Astyanax mexicanus: one gene and its partner. The protein of the gene in region 2 interacts with the protein of the main gene of each other region in a pairwise test. Links are inferred from orthologs where the notes say so. Each region holds a gene or a part of one and is shown on either strand. Other genes may lie near its edges.

Region 1 (9,981 bases), on a different chromosome or scaffold from region 2:
GATTAAGAATGTGTAGTTCTTTCCACACATTATACAAAAAAAAGGTGTTTGGTATAGGGTAAAACAAGCTAAATCTTCAGACTGTACCTTTTTGATCTTTATAAATTTAATCAAGCACAATACGTAGTAAAAAAAACTAATGGCTTAACATTTGCCTAAAATTAGATTTATTTTGATCATTTATCTTAGCTCATAATATTTATATCTCTATTTTTACAGCAATAACTTGGATAAAATCTAATTTGCTATTTAGAACTAGCGGTGGGAATCACCGGGCATATCACAATATAATATACTGATGCACTGCCCACGATAATCTTACAATACTTTGATTCTGTGATGCTCGATATATCAAAACAATTCTCTACGATGCTTTACAGCATCTCTGTTACTGAAGAGGATAAAATACTCCTAAATAACTAAATACCAGGAATTATGTAGTGAAAAAACAAACACAGATTTTTACTAAGAGGTAATTCCAGTAAATTTTATACAATATGGGAACCATTCTTGAAATATTTCTTCCAACTAAAAAAAAACAGTCAAAGCTAAATAAGTATGTAGATACGGTGTGAAGATACATTGAGGCCTTTGACAAATGCTTTTAAATGATTTGCTGTGTTTGTGTTATTAGTCTATTCATTAAAATGAGATAAAATGAGAAATTCAATGCAAAGGGAGAAAATTGGGAAAATAAAGTTTTTATAATGCATGTTGATTGCACTGCTATAAAAATACACACACTTTTAATGCCACATATCAATAATGCACAGCAAATAAAGCATACAATATATCGCAATAACCATTTTGTCCTACTCCTATATAGAACTGGGCACTATGTTATCAGTCATACTTTTTTTTTGACATGCTTTACCGAGCATATCAACTGTATTTTTGTGTAATACATCCTTTAGAACTGGATTTGAAGCAAAAACTGAATAAAAAACACTGTGCATTCAAGCACTGAATAGTAATTTCTAATAATCTGTCATTGCTGATGCTGTATTATCACCATATACGTATTTTAATGAGCAGAATGAGAGAAAACTCTGCAGCAGTTAAGGCAGCTGTGTGTGGTTAAAGCCTGGAAGCGTAAATACTGTATATACAGGGACAGTGTGCTGCTAGTCCTTTCACAATTACGTTATTGACTTATAATATGGACGTGACCTCAATCATTTCTGCTCATCACCAGCAATACTGTCAGTCACGCAACGACCAACACATCAATAACAGAGCCCTTATATACAGTACCAAATTTAATGTTCGGCCCCAACTTAACTTAATGCGTTGTTACTTTATGATTTTTTTACATTGTAAATTTAATATTAGCCTCCTCCGCCGCCTCTTTTTGAACTGTTGCTGATGCAGCATTGCTAAGTAGCATCACAGCGCTAACACTCGGTTCTGATACATCAGCTCACAGACGCAGCCTTGTGCTGATCCACATCACCCTATAAGTAATGAGGGGAAAGAGCACCATCTACTGTACCCACCCAGAGAGAGCAAGGACAATTGTGCTCTCTCAGGGCTCCAGCAGCTGATGCTTTTATATTCAAAGAATTTAGTCTGCCAGGGTTGAGTGTTGAGATTAATGCATAGCGCTGAAGACAAGCTGCTTACTTCTTTGCCTTGTAGACATAGGCGCAGCGCTTGCCCAGGTAGAAGTCGACCTCCTGTCGAGTGTAGACTCCCTCAACCTTCAGCAGAGCAGTGTGCTCACGCTGGTTCCTCAGACCGCGCTTGTATCCAGCGAAGATAGCTTTGCACCACAACCTAAAAACAGAAAACAGCCACAGGCTGAGCATTCCCAAGCTTTACCAACAATTATTATAATCATTCATACATTTAAACATTATATATATATATATATAAATTTTCATTCATTTACTACAGAACTTCACACAATTTAAATTAAAAAAATTTGAAATTAACCCAAAATAAATTTTCGTTACACACTGAACAGTACAACACAGTACATCAGAAGAAGCAATATCTGGTGATTTACTGAGATAATAAACTTCAGTTACACTTCCCTTCTTTTCCAAATGATTTACAACAAATACTTAAATCAGTACATAGCCTTCACTTCAACATCTGTAATTTTATGAATGCAAATAAAAAACATATGTAATGTGGCTATTCAGAAAGCATTGACGCAAACTACCAAAAACAAAGCAACAGAACAAAACCTAAATTTAGAGCTCACAAAAACCTCCAGATGAAGTAAAATAAATTAATTACAAAATTTTTAACAGCAGCAAAAGGCCCAATAATCAAGTGTTAACAAGAGCCAATCACAACAATATACAACAATGTACACAGCAGATGAAAAACATTGCAAATTTATATAATTCAATATTTAACCAACGGAATTATAATGAAGCACTGCTGTCCAATAAAAAACATGCATCTTCACTTTTGGGTTTTATATAGTGTATAACCCTGCAGCTGATCATATATGGCCAAAATTTCAAACTGATCCTCCAACTGTAGAGTTTGTTACAGTGTGTAAACTACCCCGATTAACTAAGAATCTGACTTTTTAGGACTCCTGATGCTGTATTTTTTTCTCTGTGCATCACAAGATCATCATTTATGACAAGAATCCCAGTCAAAAGTTTCTACAGACAGCAAAATAAAATTTTACGTTCGAAACAAGTTTATTAACTTACAGTAGAAAGCCAACATTTAGCTTTTGGAATAATCGGTTCCTTCTGATCCCAAATGTCAAGGATACTTTCAAAAACTTAATTTAAGTAAACTTGAGCACATAGCTAATGTGTACCAAGACAAAGTTGAGTTTAGGTCCTACTAATTTCAAATTATAAACTCACACCAAGCATGAGTTTGGGACTTGAGGTTAATTACACCAAAGTGAGCGACAAAAATAAAGAAATCATGAAAAATGTTGGCCACATCATCAAACACTAAATGAAAGTTAAGAACACTTGCCTTCCATTCTATAAACAATATTTTGGAGAGACGTTTTTCTTTGGACATTGAGGATACCGTGTTACTTTTATCTTCGTACTTTTTATTTGACTTAAACTTCAAAAATACACTTACACTGTGCACAATTTCACCAAACTGCAGCTGCAACTAGGAACAGGTCTATACACACACACTACCTTCACCAAAACCTCCAACATGCAGTTTAAGAAGCTACTCACCTTCCAGGCATTGTGACTTATTTCTCGCCCAGGCTCTGAAACCTTTGAAGCAAGAATAAAGACATAAAATGAGAAGATTTAAAGGGAGAAAGCTTTAATAAAATGTCTCACAGCTTCTTAAAACAGCCAATAAACACACAGACCAACAGCTGACACAATTATACTTAAATTAGACTGTAGTTTGGTCATCAGAGCAGATTTAATTAGATCTAGGAGCTAAAATTAAAGATCTAGTTACTGTTTATTCAGTATGCATGTGAAGTTAAACTAGAATACAGAGTTCAGACACGTTATAACCAAGAATAACTCCACTTCTATAGCCATTAGCAGCAAAACAGCAGCATATAACCCCAGCATAATATATTCTACAGCGCTAAAACACAGAAACAGCAGAGTTACATCAGTAATTCAGCGTTTAAACCCGTTTAATATTAAACTGAATCACTGAAACTCTGTCAGTAACGGAGGAAACCCGCCCGCTCCCTCAGCAGCTCTGCCCAACAATCCGCTCCAAATCTGCACCATCCCGCCATGAAACACGATAAACCCAAGCGCTGGATAAAGATAAAGCGCTTATCTACGCGCTGAGATTAATATTAGAGCTTAATTCCCTCTAAAAACAGTAAGAAATTGATAAATTATGAACCCGTGCCGGGATTTACCTGCCTGATACGATAACAAAGATGGAGGAAAAGGACGGTCCAGCGGCGCGCCGGCAGCAAAATCACCCAGCGGCGCCCCAAACAACCGCCTGATCAAAAATAATAAACTCAATCCATGAAAATTAGTTTATTATAAAAAAAAAAAAAACAGTATTCTTTAATACTTTAATAATCTTTAAAAAAAAAACTATACTATCTATAAGATGTTTACTCTATTTTTTAGTGAAAATATAATATAAATAAATAAAAGAAAACATAAAAATTCATTTAAGTGAGAAATACATAGTTTAAATTAAAATGAGTTAATTATATGAATAAATTGATAAATAAATAATCGAGACATTATTTAATTAATTATTTAAACGTGAATATTAAGTGTATTTTATAGTTCTTTATTTGTCATTTTCAGGGATAGTAAGTCATTATTTTGAGATAATAAGATCTGAACATAATGAGATAATATCTATCTATCTAAAAATAATGAATAAGTTCCTTAACTTATTCAAGGACACAGACAGATTCGAGAACTGTTTTTTTATTACACTGCAAGTACATATTTATTTATTTTTATATTGTATATGTTGCACTGTGAGATGAGCTCCTCTAATTTCACTGTACTTGCTATAGTCATAATAAAATGCATTCTTTCATTTATTCATTAACTCGTTCATTTAAAATTATGACTTACTATGTCAAAATACTGAGACAGCAGTTACTTAATAATAATAAAACAAATGTGCTGGATTTATTTTATATTTTAGGTGGCAGGAATGGGAATTCTATTCATAGATATCTTATATATATATACGTATTTGATATCTATGCTTCCATACACTAGAGTCATGTAGAATTGTTAATATTTAACCTCTTTTAATCGATTTAAAAATCATGTCTTCACCCATTGTTTTAGTGGGAATGACTTGTAGATCTGCGAAATTAAAAGTCCTGCGGTTTAACCAGAATATAATATTTTTTTTAATAAAGATTTTTTTCTGTGAGCTTAGATATCTTGCTGAGACCATATAAAAATGACTATTTTTGAGTTACAAACTAAATTTGAGATAAATTAAAATTTAATAAGGTATACAAAAACTGGCAAACAAAACCCCGCCTCTTCCCTCTGTTTCTCTGTATGTGTCTGCGCATGCGTCCGGTGAGAGCGGGGGTGAGGGAGCTCGCCATTTTAGGAGCCTGTGAGGATCTGCAGGCTGGAAATCTTACAAATAATAAACGCTGCAGGTTAATAATGTCCGCAGAAAGCGCCCCGGACCAGGTAAATATTCTGTAAATCTGTTATAAAGCTGCAGAACGGCTTAAATTGCGGGTTAAAGAAGCTGTGCCGTTGCTGGGGCGACCGTTAGTTAGCTTAGCTTAGCATACGAGCTATGGCTAGTTTAGCTAGGCTAGCTGCTGGAATTGACTTGCTTGTTTTTGTCTCTGTTTGAGGTCATTTTTAACATTTTTTAGGCATTAAATCCCGTGTAGGACTTATAAAAAATTCATTTAACTGCATAATGTACGTGTTCTTTGATTGGTCTAGGTAGATATTCAGTTAAATAGTTTGTTTGTTAGCTAGCTGAGTTTGTAGCGAAAGACACGCTGTTTTTGGACTGCTGTGATGCGATTAGGCGATGTTTTGACCATTTAGCTTCTGTTTATTCTGTGGTTTATTTTCTAACTTCAAATGCTATGTACTTAGTACTTATATATGGTTTTGCACTGCCTGGCCAAAGAGTCTTAATGGCGTTCAGGTGGCGGCCAATCAGTATTTTCAGCTACAATTTCCTTAGATGTTTTTTCTGCATTATTGGTGCCAATAAATTGACCCTTCTGAAACATATTAACTTTATTATCTTTTCCACGTGGTTGTTTTAACAAATGAGAAGCTACTCCCTGCATCAGTTAGGATTAAATCCAGTAACTTGTTGCCGTAATTATAGTAATTATAATCCAGTTATTATAATGCAGTAATAATAATCCAATGAGAGTCTTTTACCTATTTGCTCAGTTAAGTCAAGTTTTTTTTTTTGCCAGGCAGTGTGTATATATTTCTGTATTGATAAATGTGCTGTATTTTCTGCTTGACATTGTCTCAAAAACTATTGCAATAAACAGTATTACTGTCATTTTAAGGTCATTTTAATGCCACTGACAGCATGTTAAAGATAGCAAAACAAAATTTGCAATTAATCATAGTATTATACTTATTTTTATTTTATTAAATTACTTCAGTTTATACTGTGTATGGAGTCAAAGTTATTGAAGCATTGGTCTGGTATTGCATGACTGGCTAAAATATTGTTCACTGTTCTATACAATAGAAAACGTACAAATAAACGCAATAGATGATATCACAATTATCAAATATCAGGTTGTGTCCATTATTTTACGATAAGTCGATAATGTAATTATCGTTAGAGGCCTAGCTATATTTAAATACATTTTCCATATTTTTCTGACTTTAAGGCACACTTAAAATTCTTTGATCCGGTGCAGGCCACAAACACATGTTAAGTTAAATGCCTTAAATCAGTGTTACTGAAAAGTGGTCCTGAAGGCTCATAGGCTGCCCTGCACATTTTATTGCTTTCCCTGCTTTAACACACCTTCTTTAGCTAACTTAATTGCATCATTTGTGTTTGAATAAGGTAAAGCTTAGCTCCTTGTCACCTTTAGGACCAAGGTTAAAAAAAATCTGCAGCAAGATGCATTTTATTGCAAATTGTGCCTAAACTCAGTCAGTTTTTAGCTTTTGGGTTGATTTGTAGATTTGCTTTGGCCTCTTATTCAGTTTATAGTGCACTTCTTATCTAGCTAGCTATCTCCTCTTCTGTGTATTGTGCTGTTTGTTTGTTTTTTTTTTTTTTTACAGTGGAACTTAATGATGCTAATGTGTTTTGATCTAGTGTATCAGCTATTATAAGACATTTCTAGATTAATGTGTGTTTTGTTTGTTTGTTTTAATTGGACTTTGATCTGCCTTTAACCCCATTTTAGAGATAAATGTTATCACAGTTATTGCTATATCTTTATATTGTCTATCAAAGAATCTTTGAAAATCTAATTGCATTACCTACCTAAACAATTTAAATGAAGGTATGACTGGGCAATATACAGCTCTGGAAACAGTTAAGCGACCACTTCAGTTTCTGTATCAGTTCCTCTGATTTTGCTATTTATAAAGTAAAATGATAAAAAATGATCATATAGCATTCTTGTTTTATTCTATAAACTACTGACTTTTCTCCCAAACTCCAAATAAAAATATTTTAATTTGGAGCATTTATTTGGAGAAAATTGGTTCAGTTTGGTGGTTTGATGGCCTGTGATCATTCATCTTCCTCTTGATTATATTCCAGAGGTTTTCAATTTGGTAAAATCAAAGAAACTCGTCATTTTTAAGTGCTCTATTATTTTTTTCCAGAGCTAAATATATCTTAAAGATCAGTGTGCTTGAAACTGTCTGGTACAAGATTCATACAAAATGATATTGTTTTCGATGTGTGCAATATAATATTGTGTTAAAATGGTTTGGTTTCTGAAGTGGTGACACTCAATACAGTACAATATTGTGCTAATTGTGTCATAGAAACATCAAAACTAAAGGAGCAGCATTGTTTAATATTAATACATTTTTAAATATCCAGTCTTACAAGTACTTTTAACACTTTGTAACCTTATACTTTAAGTTTTTCACCATATTGTGTATATCACCATTTCTCTTAACAATGTTAAGATAAGAGCTATTTAGTTTTAAGGCCCAGTTTCAGAGGCAAGCTACATGAATATTGAGATTTCCAACAGTGTTTATTGCATCTTTTTTTGTCAGTATCATCCATCACCGAGCTTGTTTGATAACTTATTTAGTCCTGCATTGCTTTGTTCAAGTCCTTGTCTCACTTTGACCTTTGGAAAATGATCCATTATAGAGTGGTGTGACCTTCTATAAAAGGCCTTGATTGACTGAAGGTCAAAAGGAGTAATAAGTATGGTTGTTTATGGCATTTTTAGATTGATTGTAGGCCTTTTATGAGATTTTTGATCTGTTTTCATACAGTATGATGTCTAACAAGACAAACTAGAGTTGGAAACACATGTTATATATGTATATACATACATATTGGACCTATGTCTAAGCTTTGTGCTTGTAGTAAGGTTGAGCGATATGAAAATTAAAAATGATATCACAATATTTTATGGTATTTTTACGATAACGATACTCTTAGCGATATGCTTAAACACTGAATTAAAAATATATATATTTCGAGAATACAGTAATGCAACAAAATAAAAATTACATTATATTATTGCATAAGAGATGAAATGGCTCACCCCTAACTGAGATATTAAAAAATACAAGAATTTTATCAGATTTGTTGGCAGAAGTCAATGTTCCAGAATGTCATAATGCTAATAATAATGCACTCCATATATTTCCATAAATCCAGGATTAAAGTAAAATAAATGATACTGGACAGATATAATCTGTCTCTAGTAGATATACAGGTGCTGGTCAACGAATTAGAATAATTTGAAATCAGGTGTTCACCGCACCTGTCCTACTCGTTAGACTAATCACAGAACTCGTTACCTGGAAAAAATTTTGCTCAGCTGAGCTTTCCAAAAGGCCCGTTTAGGCCATTTAACTGTGACACTGTTGTTTTATTGAATTAGAATAATGGAGAAACCGTTTCATTGAATTAGAATAATTTTTATTATAATTACAATCATCACTTTCTCAGTATTTTGTGGCTGCCCCCTTGGCTTGTATGACTGCCTGAAGTCTCCGCGGCATCGATTTGACCAGCTTGTCGCAAGTTTCCGCACTCACAGCTTCCCAGGCAGTGGCGATGTTCTGCTTCAGTTGGTCCAGCGTAGTAGGCTTTCTGTCGCGAATTTTCCGCTTGACGATGGCCCAAAGGTTTTCAATGACATTGAGGTCAGGCGAGTTGGCCGGCCATGCCAAAACTTCAAGCTGTTTTTTAGTGAACCAATCTTTGGTCGACTTTGCCGCATGAGCCGGTGCAAGATCCTGTTGAAATATTAAGTCTTCTTCGCCGAACTGTTCCTCAACAGTCGGAATCAGGAACGTTTCCAGAACATCTTGATATACGGCAGCATTGACAGTCTTCTTGAGGAAGCAGAGTTTCCCTACACCTCGAGCGGACATGCATCCCCAGACCATAACGCTCTGGGGAAACTTGACGGATCTTTTCACGCACTCGTGGTTGTAGGTTTCGCCACCACGACGCCAGACACGAGGACCTTGGTCACCGAAGGAGATGCAGAAGCGTGATTCGTCACTGAAGACCACTTTCTGCCAGTCTTCAGCAGTCCATGTTCAGCATCGGTTTTACTGCTGGAACGCGAGATTTGAAGCCGAGTTCGCGCAGACCACGGTAAGTGGTTGATCTGGAGACGTCAGCGCCGGTCTGCTTGTTCCACAAGTCGGTGAGCTCGGAAGTGGACTTGAACCGGTTGCTGACTGCGATCTTTCTCAGCTGCTTGTTGTCGCGAGCAGAAGTTTTTCGGACGCCGGAACAGTTGGTGCGCTTGCTGCAGTTTTTCTTGAGAGCTTTGCAGACGGAAGACTGGCTGATGCCGAGCTGCTCAGCAATTTTAGTTTGGGTCAAGCCTTGTTGGCGAAGGGCTTGAATTTGAGCCACTATTCCGGTTGAGAGGTCGCGCTGCTTACCCATGATTGATTTTTACAACTTAGAAATTCTACTCAACCCTGACTTTATACTGCACAGTGAACACTCTTCACAGAAAACAAAAATTCGAGCATTTATTCTAATTCAATGAAACTGTTTCTCCATTATTCTAATTCAATAAAACAACAGTGTCACAGTTAAATGGCCTAAACGGGCCTTTTGGAAAGCTCAGCTGAGCAAATTTTTTTTCCAGGTAACGAGTTCTGTGATTAGTCTAACGAGTAGGACAGGTGCGGTAAACACCTGATTTGCTTTCTGCACAAAAAATGCATTCAAAGAATTTCATGATTGCACTATTTCAAATTATTCTAATTCGTTGACCAGCACCTGTATAATGGGAATGAAAACAACGTGAATTTTTATTTTTATTTTATTTTGTGATCATTAGGGGTGGGTGATATGGCGTGATCATTCGCAATATTCAAAGATGTT
Region 2 (10,377 bases):
GAAATTACGTTACTCTCCTTCCCAATTTTACAGCAAGTACAGATAATGGATAATAAAGAAAAATAAAGAAAAAGGGGAGACACTATGTGTACAATACAGCAGCAGGGACACAGACATACATGAGACAGAACAAGGTGCAGTAGTGGTGGGGGTGAAATAGATATATAAATAGAAATAAAAAGAAATAAATATATAATCTAAATCTAAATGAGTGGGAGACACTATATGTACAATACAACAAAAACACAATAGACATTTGTGAGACAGAAGATAATAGTGCAATATTAATGGTGATTAAGATCAAGTGACAATATAAATAGAACCCGTATAACAGTAGTGCAATGTTGTATCTAGCTTAAGGCTGGTAAAGTTCTTAAAGTTCCCAGTTCTTGGGGAATTAAAGTGTGTATGACAGTGCAGCGTAACAGTAGTGCAGGTATTGGGTGTGTAGTGCAGGTCCTTTTACAAAAGTTACAGTACTGTGTGTGTTCTAGTGCAGAGTTCAGTACTGTGTTGGTGGGAGGATGTGGGGTCAGGATGATGAGAGTGTGTGTGCTGTGGGCAGGATTGGGATGGGGGGTAGAGCAGGAAGAGAGTTCAGCATCCTCACAGCCTGATGGATGGGGCTGTCTCGCAGTCTGCTGGTCCTAGACCCGAGACTCCGCAGTCTTCTCCCTGATGGCAGCAGGCTGAAGAAGCTGTGTAGTGGGTGGGAGGGATCTCCTGCCAGACAGAGGGCTTTCCGCGTGAGGCGGGAGCTGTACAGGTCCTGAAGGAAGGGGAGAGAGGTGCCAACGATCTTCTCAGCTGCTCTCACGATGCGCTGGAGGGTCCTGCGGCAGGATGCTGTGCAGGCCCCGTACCACACGGTGAAACAGCTGGTCAGGATGCTCTCGATGGCCCCTCTGTAGAAAGTGGTCATGATGGGGGTGGGGGCTCCAGCTCTTCTCAGCTTGCGGAGAAAGTAGAGACGCTGGTTTGCCTTCCTGGCCAGTGATGCTGAGTTGGTGCTCCAGGAGAGGTCCTCTGTGACGTGCACACCCAGGAACTTGGTGCTGCTCACCCTCTCCACAGCAGTTCCGTTGATGGACAGAGGAGTGTGCAGTGTGTGAGTTCTCCTGAAGTCCACAACAATCTCCTTAGTCTTCTCTGTATTCAGAGAGAGATTGTTGTGTTTGCACCAGGAGGCCAGGCGGCTCACCTCGCTCCTGTAGTGTGACTCATCGTTGTTGCTGATGAGACCCACCACCGTCGTGTCATCCGCAAACTTGACGAAGAGGTTGGAGGTGTGTTCTGGTGTGCAGTCGTGGGTCAGCAGAGTGAACAGGAGTGGGCTCAGTACACATCCTTGGGGAGCCCCTGTGTTCAGTGTGGTGATGCTGGATGTGTTGCTGCCAACCCGCACTGCCTGTGGTCTACCAGTCAGGAAGTCCAACAGCCAGTTGCACAGGGAAGTGCTCAGCCCCAGACTGTCCAGTTTGTGTATGAGCTGTTGGGGGATGATTGTGTTGAATGCTAAACTGAAGTCAACAAACAGCATTCTGACGTAGGTGTCTTTCTTGTCCAGGTGTGTGAGGGCTGAGTGGAGAACAGTGGAGATGGCATCATCGGTCGAGCGATTTGACCGATATGCAAACTGGTAGGGGTCCAGGGAGGAGGGGAGTGAAGACTTGATATGGTGCATGACTAGTCGTTCGAAGCACTTCATGAGGATGGGGGTGAGTGCAACCGGACGATAGTCGTTGAGACAGGATGGCGATGCCTTCTTAGGGACAGGGATGATGGTGGTGGCTTTGAAGCATGTGGGAACCACAGCCTGAATCAGAGAGGTGTTGTAGATGTCCGTATAAACCTCTGCGAGTTCCCAGGCACAGTCCTTCAGCACACGACCAGGAATGTTGTCAGGTCCAGGAGATTTTCGAGCATTGATCCTGCTGAATGCTCTCCTCACACTGTCTTGGGAGAGCGTTAGCACCTGGTCACCAGGAGGAGGGATGGATTTCTGGGCGGGTGTGTTGTTGAGTGGCTCGAACCTTGCGAAGAATCCATTCAGGTCGTTCAGCAGAGATGTGTCGCTGTTGCAGGTCTGTGGATGGGGTTTGTAGCCTGTGATAGACTGAATCCCTTGCCACAGGTTCCGTGTGTCTCTGCTGTCGCTGAAGCGTTGGGATATCTTCTTGGAGTACTGCCTCTTAGCTTTCCTGATGCCGCGGGACAGGTTGGCCCTGGCTGTCCTCAGGCCTGCCTGGTCTCCAGCTTGTGGACCTCTCCTGTCAGCCATGGCTTCTGATTAGCCCGAACAGTGATGGTCTTGAGGTCGGTTACATCATCAATGCACTTGGTGATGTAGGCAGAGACAGTTTCTGTGTACTCCTGAATGTCCGTGGAGTTGTTGTGGGTGGCAGCCTCTCTAAACATGTTCCAGTCTGTTGTGCTGAAACAGTCCTGAAGTGCCTCTGAGGAACCCTCTGGCCACACTCGTACCTGCTTCAGAACTGGTTTGGAGACTTTAACCAGTGGTCTGTAAGCTGGCACTGCTTATCTCTTGCAGAGCATCAAATAAACACTGACAAAATAAATATTATCAGACGTATTTGGTTGTGTTTTTGGCTTCATGAGGCCACTGTACAAATTCAAATGCATATATCCATGGAAACATGTTGGCTTTTTGTTCTTTACATTTATTTGGTGTGGTGTAAGACCCCCCATGTAGCATTTTTAGTACTACATGTATAGTTTTTCCCAAATGTTTAAACACATTTCTAGAAACTTGGCTCAGTTTCTCAAAACACAAACTGAAAATGATTAACTACTTTGTTGAAACTCCACAAATCTCTAGCAAAACTTATTCCTTCCACCAAAACAACACACACAGCTATTTATATGCTTATCTCTTGCAGAGCATCAAATAAACACTGACAAGATAAATACAGAGCACTATTATCAGACGTATTTGGTTGTGTTTTTGTCTTCATGAGGCCACTGTACAAATTCAAATGCATACACGGAAAACAATCACAGAATAATAACGCTTTGTAAAGTGGGCGAAACCAGGCAATACGCGGAACAGGTGTGTGCGCAATGTCCTTAAATCAGTACTCCGGACTTCCTGGAGGAAGCCGTGAGGTGTCACGTGAGTGTGTGTGTGTGATGTCAGCGGGTGGTGCGTTCTGGGTAGTGTAGTTGTTGGACTGCAAACCTTCGTTAAAGCTCGGTGTGGAAGAAACAGAAGCTTCTACAGCACCAGACGTGACAAATTGTGTAATCCCATATTATAATAACATAAGTTGTTACAATTGCATAATTCCATATTATAACAACTTGACCTCTTACGAAGGTGTAATTCCCCGTGAAAATGGCACAATTTATTACAATTGCTTAATTCCATATTATATAGTATTTTGTTTTACTGTTGCGTAATTCCATATTTTAATTTGTGACTTGTTACAAATGCATAATTCCACATCAAATTTCCACAACTTGTTATAGCTGCTTAATTCCATATTATAAGTATATAATTTGAAACAATTGCAAAATTCCATATATAACTACTTGACTTTTTACAGTTGCATAATTCCATATTATAATTCCTGACTTGATACAATCGTGTAATTTCATATTATAATTACTTTACTTGTTACAATTGAATAATTCCATGTCAAAATTCCACAACTTGTTATAGCTGTTTAATTCCATGTTATAATTACATAACTTGTTACAATTACAAAATTATTATTATTATCATTATTATTATCATTTATTTAATTGTTGTTAATTACATTCTAAAATATACTTTGAGTTTTATTAATAAAAACATAATTTTCTAGACGAGTGGTATTTTGTCAAAATATGACCTTACTGCCAGCAGACAATGAGACTAAATAATGAAGCTTTGACAACGTTGTGATAACCTTTTGCAGACAATGTAAACGCTGTTTGCTGGAAGATACTCATCATAATCCTCTGTAAAGTCACGTTTGGGACACTGGGGGGCAGCAAAGACCCAAATTACAACCCCAAACTTTACAGAAACCCTCTGTTCCCACACCGGCATCTTCATCACACTGACTCTGCTCTTCATCACACATCCAGCTCATCTCTACTGTCCTTCTGGAAACATTATGAGAACATTATGTCCTTTAGTCTCAGTACAGCCAGGGTTTAGTCTAAAGGCTTGTTTTATAAAGGGGTTCCTCGGTTGACGTCTACAGGTTTCCACTCATCCACGCGATTTTTTTCAGCAACAGCAGTAGTGCTCGCTTCCCACCCGTTTCCGGTAAGCCACGCCTCCCACGCTGTGATTGGATAGAAGAGGGAGTTGAAGTTTAAACCATCCTCTAATAAATGTACTGTAGAGGTAATAAATGTTCCAGGGCAAATAAACTACGATTACCCAGAAACTTCTAGAACTGCGTTTTTAAAGATCCAATATCTGATATTTTTAACATTTCTAATTTTTACTTACACAATGTCTGTTTATACATAATAAACAGTCGTGATTCATTTTTTTCTCTGAATAACTTTTCCTGTGCAACAGGAATACAGATTAGAATATTACTCAATTAGGGCTTTTCACGTTATACAACCTGTATAAAAAAAAAAAAAAAATAATAAAATCTCCTTGAATCCTGTACCTCTTCACAACTTTACAACTGATGCTCTCAAACACATTAAGATGACAAAACATTAGAGTAATTACTGTTTGACAAGCTCAGCACAGCTGTTAACTGAAAGCTATTCCAAGCTGCCATCTAAACAAGAGGTGCCATTTGGAAGAATCTAAAATATAAAACATATTCTGGTTTGTTTAACACATTTTTGATTAATAAATATTAGATTTTTATTTTGTACTTTGGATGACTTTATTGACTGTATTACTCTACAATGCAGAAAATGTTTTATTTATTTATTTATTTATTTATTATTTAAATATTATTATTTATATATATTTTTTTTATTATTATTGTTAATTTTGTTTTGACAATCATAAAATTGGAAAACAAATGAAATCTATCTATCTATATAAGGAATATATTATTCAGCCTTAAGCTTTTATACCTCTATGTTTGCACTAATGTTTATATGAGTCCTGTTCATACTGGTACTGTCATTCCCTCTTTAATCACCCCCATCACTATTGCTCTATTGTCTTGTGTCTCTTGTCTTGTCTCACGTATGTTTGTATCTGTGACCTTCTGTGACCTTGTTATACTGTACATTAAGTGTCTCTCATTATTTTATTTATATATTTTATCTTGCTGTACTTGTTGTAATAGCAAGGAAGGAGAGTAACGTAATTTCAGTTCTCTGTATGTCCGGTACATATGCAGTATTGATAATAAAACTACTTGACCTGACTTAAAATTCATCCTGATTTGAGGTTCAGGTAACACTGATGCTACAACGTTAGCTTTCAGGCTGTGGTTGCCACGGCAACGCGCGAGACCTCTCTCACTGTCCAATAGGCGGCCGACTTGTAAATTTGAACCGCTCACCATTCAGAGGCGAGAGGCGGGACGTTCCTGGCCAATCGCAACGCAGGGGGCGAGGATAGAGGAAAACGGGTGGATTAGTGAAGAAATAACAGTATAGAGCCACCGAGACATGCAGCCAGCAGCAACAGCAGCGGCGGAGCGTTCAGCACTCATTCAGAGAGGAGCCCGGCTGCTGTGATTCCTGGGCAACCTGCGAAGGATTATTTTACATTTCTGAGCTGTTGAAACTTTTTTCGGACTCTCCGCTGCTCAGTTCTGCTTTTCAGGATGTCTGTAGCGGGCTTGAAGAAGCAGTTTCATAAAGCCAGTCAGGTAAGGAGACGCCCCTAGTTCCGTTCTGTTGTTTTCAGAACAACTTCATGATCTTTAGCTTTTGTTTTCAAACATTTAGCAGTTTATTTTACCCCCCATTCAGTAAAACACTCCGCCTCAGCTGCTGTGTGTAGATGGTAGAGTAGCTCAATGGTGTGCTGCTCCAGTTGTTTTCTTCAGGCTGAAGCAGCAGCAGAGATGCGCCATGCAGTTGTTGTTTTCTTCTAAAACCTACTTTACAATGTTTTTTTTATTACATAATAAAAATAAAATACGTTCACAAAACGAAGAGTTCCTCTGTTTCTACTCTTATTTCTCTTCTAACGCCACGTTCATGTGTTTTTTCTTGGCTCTGCTCTCACTCTTTTGTTGATTATTAGCTGTGTTAGCTAGCTCCAAGCTACACAATGAGAAGATAGGACTATTTAACGTTACATCTTCAGCATTATGGCTAGTGTTAGCTTTGTTCATGTTATGTTGGATGTTGTTCACCTTGTCTAGCCCTGAGCTTCAACAGGAGAGCAGTTTTGGGGGGATGAGTATAGAATAAGCTGATTGTCAGTGCATAACTGAAGCTGAACACCATTAAATCCATCATCATGACCACAATCAAGCCACCTACACACACAGGCCTGAAGAGATGAGAACAGAGGGAGCATAGCTAACCTAGCTGCTCCTCACCACTTCTTTACAGCTTTCAGATTCTCTAAAATGATTAAAACACTGATAAAACAGTTATTTTGTGCTGCAGAATTGCCACTATTAATACTATATTCATGATCTAAATTCAGTTATGGAGTAAAAGATATGGCTGTATTTTCTAAACAGGTGGTTTTCCATCCTCAAGGTTTTTGTGAATTTTGAAAATAACAACAGAAAACACGTAAATATCTTTAAAATGTATTTTTTTTTTCAGAATTTCACTCACACCAAATTGCGAAAAGTAGCAGGAACATCTTGTTCATGTACTCTTTGTAGCTCTGCTCTCACTCTTTTGTTGATTATTAGCTGTGTTAGCTAGCTCCAAGCTTCACAGTGAGAAGATGGGACTGTTTACATCTTCAGCATTATAGTGTTAGCTTTCTTCATACCTTGTTGGATGTTGTTTTCGGTGCATTAATGAAGCTGAACACCATCAAGTCCATCATCATGACTAGCATCATACCACCTACACACACACAGGCCTGATGAGAACAGAGGAAGCATACCTAACCTCATTATTTCTTTACAGCTTTCAGATTCTCAAAAAATATATAAAATACTATGAGATATACAACGGTTAAAGTGGACAATGTGCTGTAGAATTATCACAATAAACATGATGCTTCTTTTTATGATGCTTCTGATCAGGTCCTGTTATATATTAAGCACAACATATGGCTTTCACTTTTCTTATGGAGAAGCTTGTCCATTTTTCTTTCTACTGAAAAGCAGAGCTATCATACTGGACTATTTTAATATTCTTAAGTCCTACTTGGACGGGATTAGTTTTTCAGGGGGTCTTGGGGTAATTTTATAGGGGGTCCTCTGTGATTTTATTCCCGTCCGAAACGACCATGTATGTGTTTTTCTCAGATGTCCTTATAGAATATTACAGGATGCATTGCCTACTGTTTTTCACCAAACCCCATCCAGACAGACTAAGTTTTGAGTTTTGTCTCCTCACGTTTAACAAAATAGCTTTTTGTCCACTGCCACGCACATTTCTACAGAAATCCACACAAACACAACAGCAACTGGAAATGGAGGAGCTACTGATCACGATGTGATGTGACCGAGAAAGCCAAAAAACTCACTGGTCCTCTTATTTTTTCAATATTAGTTCGGATGCAACAGTTTTATCACTTGAGTAGAAGTGTGGGAAAAAAAAATCACAGACATCCCTATTTGAAACTAATCCCATCCAGATAGGGCTTTAAACAGACTGAAAGTCTGTTATAATATCTTCAAGCTGCATTCAACATGGATTAATGTGTAATTAACTAGTTGATAACATGTAAAGACAGATCACAATACATGATAGATACGTAGATTCAGGGCTCTAACAACAGCAGACCTGACACAAACAGCATGTTTTCCACCCACAAAGTTTTTTTAATATTGAAAATGTGCAAAAATAAAAGTGGAAGAAAAAAGGCTGAAAAACACTCAAATATATATAAATGATTACACTAGAATGAGGATGAAAATCAGAATATTACTCAAGCAAAATTGCAAAATATAAACACCTTGTTTATATGCTCTTTGTGGTTCTGCTCTTACTTTTTTGGTGATTTAGCAGTTACCTAGCTCCAAGCAACACAATGAGAAGATGAAATTAGTATAATGGTACCACCTTTGTTCATGTTGTTGGATGTTCATCTTTTCTGGCTTTGGACATAAACAGGAGAGCAGTTTTTAGGATATATGTGGAGTTAACTGGTTTCTCTGTACAAATTAAATTAATTATCGTTATACTACCTACTTACAGGCCTGTAGAAATGAGAACAGAGGGTGCCTAGCCAAACTAGGTGCTCCTCATGACATCTTTGGCTGTCAAAACTCATAAAAAATAAATAAATAAAAAAACCTGTGGGGTCATTGTAGTGTTGGTAACTAACACCACAATACATTCTATAAATATGTGTTTTTAAAGAACCGGTGGCTCAGAGTAAACAGAAAGGTTTAACAAGCATGCAGGGTCTAGGATCCATCTGGATCCATCTGGTCATCTTGTTGTAGGAAGGAAATGATGGCTTGCAGGTGGCCTAAGAGCCGAGCAGGAGCAGGTGTGGTGGATGTCATTTGGCAGGATCTGTCTTCTCCTGTGGAGGTGATGGTAGGGGCTGTTGGTGTAGGACAGTGTGGCAAAACATGGCATCAGTGTGTCAGACTAGGGTTTGTTTCCCTAGCCAGGTAAGACAGGTATCAGGTAGGGCATCGTCCCACACAGCTTGTTTTATTACGGTAAACACGCAGACTACAGTCTGATATACTCAGCTCTGGACAGCGAAAGAGCTAAGGCTGCGGTTAGCGCTATTGCTAATGCTGCTGCACCCAGCCTTAGTGCTGGAGAAACTTCACTGAAAACGAACCCACGCTTATAACGCTGTTCTTCAGAGGAGTGGCTTTACTGTTCTTTAATACCTGACTGGTAGAATTCATACATAAGGCACACTGGATTATACAACACACTGTCAAGTTTTGGGAAAACCAAAGAATTTTAAGTGCACCTTATAGTGCAAAAATTTTATGAAAATGTTAAGTGCATCTCTGAAAAATAAACAGGGGCCTTTCCCTGCCCAGTTTGGTTAAACACAACATAATCTCCAGTGCTACACTGACAACAGTAGGTTTAGGGTTGGCATATGGGGATTAAGTGTGGACAGTGATTATGGGCTGCAGAATGACCACTATAAAACAGTATTACCATTATCCCGACTTAATTATAAAGTACCACATATGGTTCTATTTTCTACACTGGACGTCTTTACTGTTCTTTTGGAAGAGTGGGTTTATTTTTCTCTACTGGACAACAGAGGTAACATACTGAACTCCGCATTTTTTTCAAACAGACTGAATTAGTGATTTATACCTTGACAACAAATGTCACCAGTTAGAAATCCAAAGACAATATATGGAACTAAACAATAAAATGGAGCTTTAACCATAAGTGCAATTTGTAACTTAAATTGTGCAGCAAATCTTTTTTTCCAACAAAGATCCTTTTAGATTACTAGATCTTTTTAGCGTTCCTTAAATCCCTAATTCAAAGCAACTGTACATCTGTCGTTAAGTTTAATAGTTGGTGGATTAACTCCATCCTTGAATATGCTATTCTTTGTTCCTCCTATTTTTTTGGGAATTACTACAATTGCTCCTACAAAGATACTATGATACTGTTGTGCCCTGAATTTTGCAGTTGAAGCTGTGTTTGGTTGTTTTTTTGTAGTTTAGTGTATTTGGCATTCTCAAAGCATTCCCACACTAGCTAGCCATCTATATGCATTCACACTTGTAGGATTGTGCACATACAGCTCTGGACCACTATAGTGTCTGAATCAGTTTCTCTGATTTTTCTATTTATAGGTATATGTTTGAGTAAAATAAACAAGTTCATATTCATAAAGTTTTAAGAGTTTAGAAATCAATATTTGATGGAATAATACTGGATTTTAATTACTGTTTTCTTGCATCTTGGCATGTTCCCCTCCACCAGTCTTACACACTACTTTTGGATGACTTTATGCCTGCACTCCTGGTACAAAAATCAGGCAGTTCAGCTTGGTTAGATGGCTTGTGATCATCCATCTTCCTATTTTCCATTATATTCCAGAGGTTTTTAATTTAGTATAATCAAAGAAACCTTTTCCATTTGAAGTGGTCTCTTGTTTTTTTTTTTTTTACTACACTTTGCAACCCTGCTCTCATGCTGAAATACTACCCGTACCATGTTTGACATATTGTTAAATGCCTTGAACAAATTGAACTCGAACAAAATGTTGGTATCTTAGTTGTATGATGATGCAAAACATTCCGTCTAATTATGGTACTCTAATTTGCCTTTCCTGCATGATGAGTGCTTCTCTCA

The links.
Region 1: the proteins of sh3gl3a (region 2) and rpl35a interact in a two-hybrid assay, tested with the Homo sapiens proteins (2 studies listed by BioGRID and IntAct). The link is inferred for Astyanax mexicanus from reciprocal best matches to the Homo sapiens genes SH3GL3 and RPL35A.

What each region holds. Positions count from the first base shown.
Region 1 is NC_064416.1:4,691,982-4,701,962, reverse strand, and holds the start of rpl35a (60S ribosomal protein L35a), read right to left. Parts: upstream 3,917-9,981; 5' UTR 3,836-3,916; intron 3,216-3,835; 5' UTR 3,185-3,215; coding exon 3,174-3,184; intron 1,777-3,173; coding exon 1,624-1,776; intron 1-1,623. Other genes in the region: cstf3 (cleavage stimulation factor subunit 3), read left to right, coding at 5,082-5,108.
Region 2 is NC_064423.1:11,393,196-11,403,572, forward strand, and holds the start of sh3gl3a (endophilin-A3a), read left to right. Parts: upstream 1-5,579; 5' UTR 5,580-5,762; coding exon 5,763-5,807; intron 5,808-10,377. UniProt on the Homo sapiens protein: Implicated in endocytosis. May recruit other proteins to membranes with high curvature.